2 linked regions of the Schizosaccharomyces pombe genome follow. Changing the gene in region 1 together with any one later gene gives a genetic interaction. Each region holds a gene or a part of one and is shown on either strand. Other genes may lie near its edges.

Region 1 (4,507 bases):
TTCACAATCATGCAAATGCTTCATCTACACAAAGAACCATGTAAGTTACAAATATCCAACTCAAAAAAAGAATCAATCAAACTTACCTTCTTCTTTACAGTACTGACTCTTGAAAGGAGAGAATCTATTTTTTCTATTTTTTCATCCATTGATGCATTCTCTTGACTGATCAACGTTGTCAATGTGGAATTGATCACATGCGATTCATGCTCCAAGTGCCGCAAAATGTGTTTGAAGTTAATGCGCAATTGCTCAAAAGAGAGAAGAATACCAGGCTTTTCAAGTATATATTGCTGCTCTGGACGAAAATTCATGTTTGAAGGCAAAGTCTAACAAACTATTGGTAGATGGACCCAAAAATTTAAATCAACTAAAGAATATTGAATATTTTAAGAATAAGAAAGTAATTAGAAGAATTTGTTTAAATGTAAGGAAAACAGCAATTGCAGAAAGACGATGGGTTGTTGGCGAAAGATACACTTTCTAGGACCGTAGTGCAAGATGAATGAAAAATAAGGAGAGCTAAAAAACAATAAAAAAAGAGGTGCATATATTAATTTATGTCAGGAAAATCTGCAATTGGTATGGAAATCTCCTTTTTGGAATGCCCCGGGTTAATTTTTACCAGTCGACATTTTCGTGCCAAGTACCAATTTTCAAATGTCGCTGGAAAAGTCCTTGGACGAAATTATAAATGAAAGAACGGTAAATTTTTTTATTTTCGATATTTGTTTTAACAATCCTAGAATGGTTTTGATCACAAGCACAGTCGGCGAAGGGGATCTCAAAATCGTATTTCCAAAAAATCGCGATTGGTATGCTAATTTCGAGGATTAAGTGTTTATTTACTAATTTTTTACTTTTTAAGACCTACAAATTCAAAAGAGCATCAAAAGAACACAACTCTAGTCCAGACGATGGCCCGTGGCAGCATGACTTGGATCAAGAGCAGGATGCTCATCCAAGGACCACTCACCTACAGAAAAGACAACAGTATGTTTTGAATTTATAAGATAAGCTGTAAACTTTTTTATTACTCTATTAGCTCTTAGTCTACATGCACTGTTATTATCATTATATACTAACACAGCAATCTTAGCTCAGAAAATCGATTTGGGGTTCGTGTGGAAAACTTACATTATCAGGTTTTGGAAAAAGATGTTTTGGTAAGTGATATATGTTTACTATGTTTTCAAAAGCCTCGCTTTTAGTTTTCGATTGAAGATTATGAAACGAACCTGACAAAAAATCTCCCTGTCAAGCTAAGTAGAGCTTTGTTCCGATTTCGAATCGCTTTTTTTATTAATAAACTAACCTTTTCTTAAGTCTTTGTTTGAAAATTTCCATCCAATTCGCGTGATTATGAACTATGATCGTGCAGGTCGCTCTGAAGGCTCCTGCGATGTTTACTTTGAAACTTCCCAAGATGCTGAAGATGCCCAGAAGACGCTTCAATCTACGAACTTGAAGGGCTCCGAAATTCAAATTTCGAAAAAGTCTCCACCTTCCTTATTCGATCGGATTTCCGACATGCCACATTCAGCCCGCAAACCAAGCCGGTCTTCTCGTTCGAACCGAGGATTCAACCGTTCTTCAAAAAAAGACGACAGATCATTTCGTTCTTCTTCAAAAAAGTCTTCTAATAATTCAATTTCACACGAAGATTTAGACAAAGAACTTGACGAATACGCAATGTCATTTCACGCTGCTTCAACTGTGTCATCTCACTCATCACAGGATTTCACACCGTCAATAGCCAATGCTCATGAGAAAAACGAGCCTGTTGCTCCTTCAAAAGATAGTAATTTGACCGAGGAGATGGACCTCCAAATGGAAGCGGTTTAAGCTCGAATTGCTGTGCAAGTAACCCTTTTCCTATGCCAAAAGTTGATTATTGAGTCAATTGCTTTGATTTGTACATTATAAAAACGAACCGGCTAAAAGGACATCTTTCATCATAACCCCTTACTTTATATATAGATGCTCGTCAATTTCCATCGTCTTCCTTCTTCTACCACAATCGTACGAATCGTACCAAAAATTAAAATTTGCAGCAGACAGATTCATATTACCTTGCAAGGCCAAAAATTTATTAATTTTATTTTTTTTATTTATGTTTATAAGTGCTTGTTAACGAAAGAGATATTTTGTTTTTGTTTCTGGCATTATTCCATTCTATTCCTACTACAGTGATCATAGCAATTAACAATACATCATCACTGTGCTCTTGTAATTTGATTGAATCGTTTTTGACACAATCTTTCATTCTTTAAAATAAAATAAATTTATATATTTCTACATTACATTCTTATTTGTTAGGTAGAAATGGGATTGGGATTTTCTTCGAAAAAGCAATTACCTGCCTACTGTGGTCCCTTGCCTGTGGGGTCTTTAGTCTTAGAGCTGAGTGTTCCAGAGGAATTTCGATGTGAATATAAAACCATTGAACACAAACTAAGAACCGTAAAAGTACGCATTTTTTATCCATTGGACCCAACAAAAGATGTAGAGCCTCGCACCGATGAGCTTTGGTTACCATTCCATGAGGGTATACCCGAAGTTGCGAAAGGTTTTCGTTGGTGGCTTCTTCGTGCGTTCGCTTCTGGTTTGACCAACTTAGCTTTGCCCGTCTACAAAGGAGAGTTGTTTCATCCACCGAACAATGGGAAACTGCCAGTATTTATCTTCAGCCATGGATTGGTTGGCTCGAGAAATGTGTATTCTTCGTTATGTGGTACAATCGCTTCCTATGGTATCGTCGTCTTGGCCATGGAGCATAGAGATAACTCGGCCATCATATCTACAGTGCGTGATCCATTACATCCTGAAGAACCCCCGTACGTTGTTCAGTATCGCGAGATAAGCGACTTTTATGCAGACGCTACGGTTGTGCTTCAGAATGAACGACTTTTATTTCGACAGCAGGAAATCCAAATAGCCCTCCAGATGATTCGAAATATCAATGACCTTGGAACTCCGGACGAAAACTTACCCTTTCTTTGCTCTGTGGACTCTTCTTTTTATAATTCTGTTTTCCAATCCATGAAGGGTAATTTGAATACCGCTCAAGGAGAATTGATTGTTGCTGGTCATTCTTTTGGTGCCGCTACTTGCGCATTCATTTCCGGTTCTTCTACCAAGTCCTTATATAATGACTATATGTTTCACACTGAGTTTAAGTGCTCCATTTTATACGATATATGGATGCTTCCCGTACGCCAGCTCCATTTGAGTACGATGAGGTATCCTACGCTCATGATTATATCTTACGAATTTCGTCGGTTTGTCGACAATTTTCAAGCTCTCGAAAGTTGGCTTGTAAACAAGGATTCAGAAAACCAAAACGCAGGCGAATCCGCTGATGAGAAAATGTCTGTCGTTCCTTTAAAAAAATATTCCCACGTGTTTGTTTATGATGGAACAGTACATGCTAACCAAAGCGATTTACCGATTTTGCTCCCTCGCATGGTACTAAGGGTATTGAAAGGAAAATTTGAAGCAGACCCTTATGAAGCTTTACGCATTAATACTCGTTCATCTGTACAATTCCTTCGTGAAAATCATGTTGAAAATGTTCAGGGAGATAATGATCCTTCGTCGTTGCAAACAAATATTATTCCTGGGTGGGAAAGAATTATGTAGTATTTACCACTTTTACAAAGAGCTAAAAACTCTTAAAAACAAAACTCTTTTGACTTTTCTTGTCTTTTTATCTATCGCCGATGCTAATTATAATATTTATTGACTGTCATGCTAATGAGTTAACTGTTTGGCACAAATTTCTTATAGCTTATAAAGAAGATTTTCGAAAGCTTACCTGTTAATGTGGATTGAATATGGTAACTATTACTTTTTGGGAGCCTGTGCTTAGGACCGCGATGATTAAGGACGAACATTTACGCTAAGTGTGTGATTTTGAAAAATTTAGACTAATATTTATAATTTGTAATATGTCTTATATACTGATAGATTCTTTTATCATTTTACATTATTATTTATTCAACAAAATAATTTACCAACCAATTACGAATGAAACCACCATTAATTATAGATACAAGGAAATTCAATGATTATTAGCGGATATATGTATCTAGTTGTTGCACAGTTTCAACAAACAATGCTCTTTTGTCTGTTCAACATGAAGAAGAAATGACTTGGGGTTTAACATAACCATAAAAAAACAGAATATATAAATAAAATGGAGTGGAAATACATCAGAGCAGGCTAATTGCCTGGAAAAACATCAAAATAAATAGCTTCAACTGAGATCATCATATCCCATCCAAACATAAAGTCGGTCCATTACACCAGCACAAAAAACTGAAGCCAATATTGGTGAATTGCAAAATCAGTGCTACAAACGTCACTTGCATTGCACTAAATCAAATAGGCATTCGTTGCTCAACGCTTTAAGGCAATAGTACAATGAATCAATAAGCATTCGAGTATCTTAAAACAAAACAAACGTGGCACAAAACATCAAAAGTCCTTAAAGATAGAAGTAAAT
Region 2 (4,999 bases), on another chromosome or scaffold:
CTGATTCCAACAGATCCACGCCCACTACACTGTTCTACTCTACACACTTTGCGTGCTTGTCTGCTGTTACGATACCATCTACCAGCACATCCTTCCCTCGCCCCCTTTCTCAGCTACGGAACATCCCTCTACAACAAAGGACCCTTGAAATAGGACAACAACATCACCCAAAAAAGAAGGAAAAGAAAAAGAAAAAAAGATTCAAAAGAAAAAAATTACATTCCTAAAACTGATGGTGTGACACTATGGTTTTATATTATGACACATGCAATTTCAGTCGAGAAAGTTAGTCGAATCGTAAAAAAGTCAGTCGAGTAAATTTAAACGAGTAAATCAATTGAATATTGTGATTTTTTTTTTCGTCTATGTTTTTACAAAATAAAGGAAATTAAAAAAATTAAAATAAAAATGAAAATGAAAAATAAATTAAATAGTAAAAGCAAAAATACCGCGAGACCCTTACAAACTTGATGGAGGTCATTTTAGACGGTTTCGGTTGCTGCAGGCAATTCATTCACTTAACAAGTAAAATCTCCTTTCTTTCTCCGAAGGTGCTGCGAAGCCTTCCACTGCTGCTAAACACCTGATGAAATTCGGCAGTAAATGTAGACACTTCGTTATCCCAGCTTTTTTTAAAAAAAATTAATAAATGGTAGCCTTGCAGAATCCGGTTTAACGAGGCGATTTTGGCATGCATTATAATTGCTTTTCACACATGTTTTCCCATATCGTTTTCTTTCTCCAAGGCAAAATAGAGCGATGGATAGAATACATGCTATACATACGATATAGTCTATAGTCCATTTTGCATCTACAGATCCCTAGCGCACTACTCTGTTTTGTACAACCAAAAGTCCATCTTGCATCCATACAATCTTATTTACCACTTTTAATTTTTCATCCTTCTTTACCATTTTTTATTTCCATCCTTCTCTACCGCTTCTAATCCCTCTCCCATCCTTCTACTTTCGTTACCGTTTTGATGCGCTAACGATAAATAATACAACATTAGATTTTCTTTAACCTTCTTTCCATTCTCCTCAACACTTTAAATGGCCCACTTTAATAATTTTGCTTGCCCGGTTTTCCTGCTATTCCATTTGCTTGCCGTTACAATGTATCCGCATGTTTGCTCCTACTATCGCCGCATTGCGTTCCATTCCATTTTGCTATCGCAATTGCTCTGAAATCGGCTGCGTGCTAATTTTTGGACGCAAAGCTGCGATCATGGAATCTAGCTTCAAACTCTGGTATAAACCTTTTTTTAAACGCTTAAAAAACAACCAAAGTTAGTGCGCTCTCAAGCTTAAAGTTACGGATTTCCCCAAATCCGATATCTATTTACCGAGCGCAATAGTTTGTAAATTTAAAAAAAATAAATAATAAATAATAAATAAATAAAAAATTACACAAACCTTGAATTTGATCCAAACAACCTTTGCATCCTTTGTCGATCAAATTCCCATTCCTTCATTTCTTTTAAAAAAAAATTTTTTTTTCTAGAGCCGTTCCTTTCTCAATTCATTTTCGGGCATATTTATTTTGCTTCCTCTCTTCCTTCCTTTCTTTGTTTACACAAAAAACCATGATATTCCAATTGATCTTGCATGCTCATTTCTCACTACACCCTAATAATCCCTTTCCTTCATTCACTCTATCCTAAATTAAAAATTGCCCTTGCATCTTTTTTGTTTATCCAAAATTATTTAAAATTAGTGCATCAAAATCTTTTCTCGCAATTGCATTCCATCACATTACGTTTTATTTTGCTAATTTTTTTTCGACATCGCTCACTCCAATACTCAATATTTATTTACCATATTTTACGCATTACATCCTTAATGTTTTAATGTCATTGAGTTTATTCTGTTATCTGCTAATACCGATTTTACTACCTTTCTCCCTGTTTTCCATAAAACATATTCCCAACAGTGTCTTTAAATGACGTAGGGTCATTTCCTAGTAATTCATTATGTTCAGCACCTAGTCTCACGGTACCCTTTCTTCTACATTATACCGTTCTTCTTCAATTGATTCATGCTTTGATCTTTTGTTAATACCCAGTATTTATTTTTAATGATCTTATTTGAATTATAAAATTTTCTTTTCGTTTGCTTCATGTTTTGTTTTTTTCCTATCCAAAAATGTCTATCCCAGAGGAATCTGAAATAAATAAGGATTACACTGTTCAAGAAGGTAGGATGATTTGCTGTTAATTTTTATTACATAGTAATTTTACAAAACCAATTATTAACATTTTTCCTTTTTAAAATTTATAGATCTTGACGAATTCGCAAAATATACTTGTGTTTATAAAAAACGCCATGATGAAAAAATTGAGTACATCACTGCTCAACATGATTGGAATCCAGTCTATGAGGCCGTAGTCCCTCGCAAGTCAAAACCGGGTAAAGATGAAAAACGAGAGGGCTTTATGTATCCCATTCTACGTTGGCCCTTGATGTTTACTGCTTTCCTATGTCTAACCTTTGTCGCGTATGTTTATCTGTTACCCTTTACTTTATTTATCCATTTGTATTTGCTAACATCATCAACTTGCAGCTTTCTTTATCTTTTGGACCGTTTGTATATTAACTGTTATGAGTACTTTATTGTTTGGAGAGGCGAAGCTCGCAGACTTCGTAAACTCTTGCAAGAAGCAAAAACTTATGAAGAATGGAAGGAAAGAGCCAGAGCTTTGGACAAATATTTTGGTAATGACGAGTGGAAATTGGACCCTGTTTACGATTATTATGACTACACGCTCGTACAAGCTGTTTACAGCAGTTTGGTAAAACATCGAGAACAGAAAGATTGGAATGCCCTCAAATCTGTACTTGATGTTTGTGTGAGAAGTAATTTTGGTGGAATCGACAGCTCAATGCTATATTCGCGAACCTATAGCGGTACCAAAAAATTGGTGGAAGACTATGTTAATGAATTAAAGGTTTGTCTAGAAACCGTTATAGATCAACGTTTATATACGGCACAGGAAAGATCAAAGATGTTTGAATACTTTTCCCATAATTATGGAAGAACGGCCCTTTGCCTATCAGGTGGTGCTTCCTTTGCCATTTATCACACGGGAGTGTTGAGAGCTCTTCTCAACCAGGATTTGATTCCCAATGTCATTACTGGAACTAGTGGTGGCGGTCTTCTTGCAGCACTAGTTTGCACCCGCACCAACGAAGAGTTAAAGCAGCTTTTAGTTCCTGAACTTGCTTCCAAGTATCAATCAGATATCGGCAATTGGCTAGATGCTACGAAGCGGTACTTCAGGACGGGAGCTAGATTTGACGAAATTTTATGGGCAAAAACTTGCATGTATTTTACTCGTGGAAGCTTGACTTTTGCTGAAGCTTATAAAAGAACTGGTCGTATTCTGAATATCTCAGTTATTCCTAGTGATGTCCACTCTCCTCCTAAATTGATCAACTACCTCACATCCCCTGACACTGTAATTTGGAGTGCTGTTATTGCTAGTTGTGCCGTCCCTGGTATTTTAAATCCTATTCCCTTGATGACTCGAAGTCAGTCGCACAGGCTTATCCCTCACAATTTTGGAAACCGCTTCAAGGATGGAAGTCTTCGTACGGATATTCCTTTAAGTGAGTTACGTACTCAATTCAATGTCCATTTCTCCATCGTCAGTCAAACGAATCCTCATGTTCAAGTGTTCTTCTTTTCGCCTAGAGGTACAGTAGGTCGTCCAGTATCACACCGTAAGGGCCGTGGGTGGAGAGGCGGATACGTTGGAAGTGCCATCGAACAGTTTTTGAAGTATGATATGATTAAGTGGCTACATGTTATCCGTAGTTTAGAATTACTTCCAAGACCCCTTGGTACGGATTGGAGTAGTGTTTTTTTGCAAAAGTTTGATGGCACTATTACAATATGGGTAAGATTATATATAGCAAATGAAAATTTACAACAAGCTAACATTTTAGCCTAAAACAAAATTTCAGGACTTTTATTATATTCTCTCTCCTCCCAGTGTTGAACGACTTGGTTATATGATAGATGCGGGACAGGCTGCAACTTTTCCTAAATTAGATTTTATTGCTGCGAGAATGACTATTGAAAAGCTGATTGAAAAAGGTCGCATGATGGATAAGCCTAGTAAATTGGGTAGATCTATTGATGGTACTATCGGTACATCCATGAGTCGTGGTGACATTGAAATAAGCCAAGAGTCGGCTAGCATTTCTCCGGAAGATATTGACATTGTAAATTAAAATTTACTTGTTTAGCGCCTTTAAATAGTAAACTTTATACCTATTTTAACAAAGTGACATAGAAGTGTGCAGGTGACAAAATTATACTCAATTGAAAGAGATATATCATTATTAAAAATTACTTTGTTTGTTTGTGCTTATGTACATATAATTAATGTATTAAAAAAATTTCAGCTTAAGCGAATACTTTCGTCATTCTGTATCAAAAATATGTAGCAATTCTCGACCATTATTCATTATGTCTATTGTAGTGCATTAATCATAAACTCTTTTACTGCTCGCTCGCATTCATCAACCACAGAGTTTCTATTCCATTCGGACTTCGTATTCCAAATGATCTGGTACAAAAATGAATGAAGATGTAAAAGCTGGTCAACGGTGAAGCCTGTTGTTGAATCAATAAGCAACTGCTTCAATGGAGTAAGTCTGTCCTCATCAAACACCAAATCAGGGAATACCACCTCTTGTTCGATATTCTCAATATGACCATCAGCGGATGTAATATTATGGGCATCAGTAGGAGCATTATTAGGAACATCAGCAGGAGACGTGATGAGGGTGTCAACAGGGATATCAGCACGGCCATTAGAAGAGATATTCGTAGAGACATCAGTAGAAACACGTAATGCGGCTTCTGATGGAACGCCTACTGGACTCTTCCCATTTAACAATGGAGATTGTACTTTGTCTTTTTGATCAATATATTCGTCAGGCTTGGGAGACTCTTCATTCTCAACTAACATGGAAGGAACAGACATAGTAGA

The links. Genes that interact genetically often act in the same process or in processes that back each other up.
Region 2: of plg7 (region 1) and ptl2, a mutation in one rescues a mutant of the other (synthetic rescue), as found in Schizosaccharomyces pombe (one study listed by BioGRID).

What each region holds. Positions count from the first base shown.
Region 1 is NC_003423.3:398,503-403,009, reverse strand, and holds plg7 (1-alkyl-2-acetylglycerophosphocholine esterase), read left to right. Parts: upstream 1-2,016; 5' UTR 2,017-2,325; coding exon 2,326-3,642; 3' UTR 3,643-4,007; downstream 4,008-4,507. Other genes in the region: gid9 (ubiquitin ligase complex subunit), read right to left, coding at 1-24, 87-314; tho4 (THO complex subunit), read left to right, coding at 661-705, 747-815, 869-993, 1,100-1,166, 1,327-1,845; cAMP-dependent protein kinase catalytic subunit Pka1, read right to left, coding at 4,480-4,507.
Region 2 is NC_003424.3:3,027,469-3,032,467, reverse strand, and holds ptl2 (triacylglycerol lipase), read left to right. Parts: upstream 1-2,008; 5' UTR 2,009-2,144; coding exon 2,145-2,196; intron 2,197-2,279; coding exon 2,280-2,496; exon of another isoform or gene 2,497-2,562; coding exon 2,563-3,898; intron 3,899-3,947; coding exon 3,948-4,235; 3' UTR 4,236-4,462; downstream 4,463-4,999. Other genes in the region: ATPase histone chaperone Abo1, read right to left, coding at 4,478-4,999.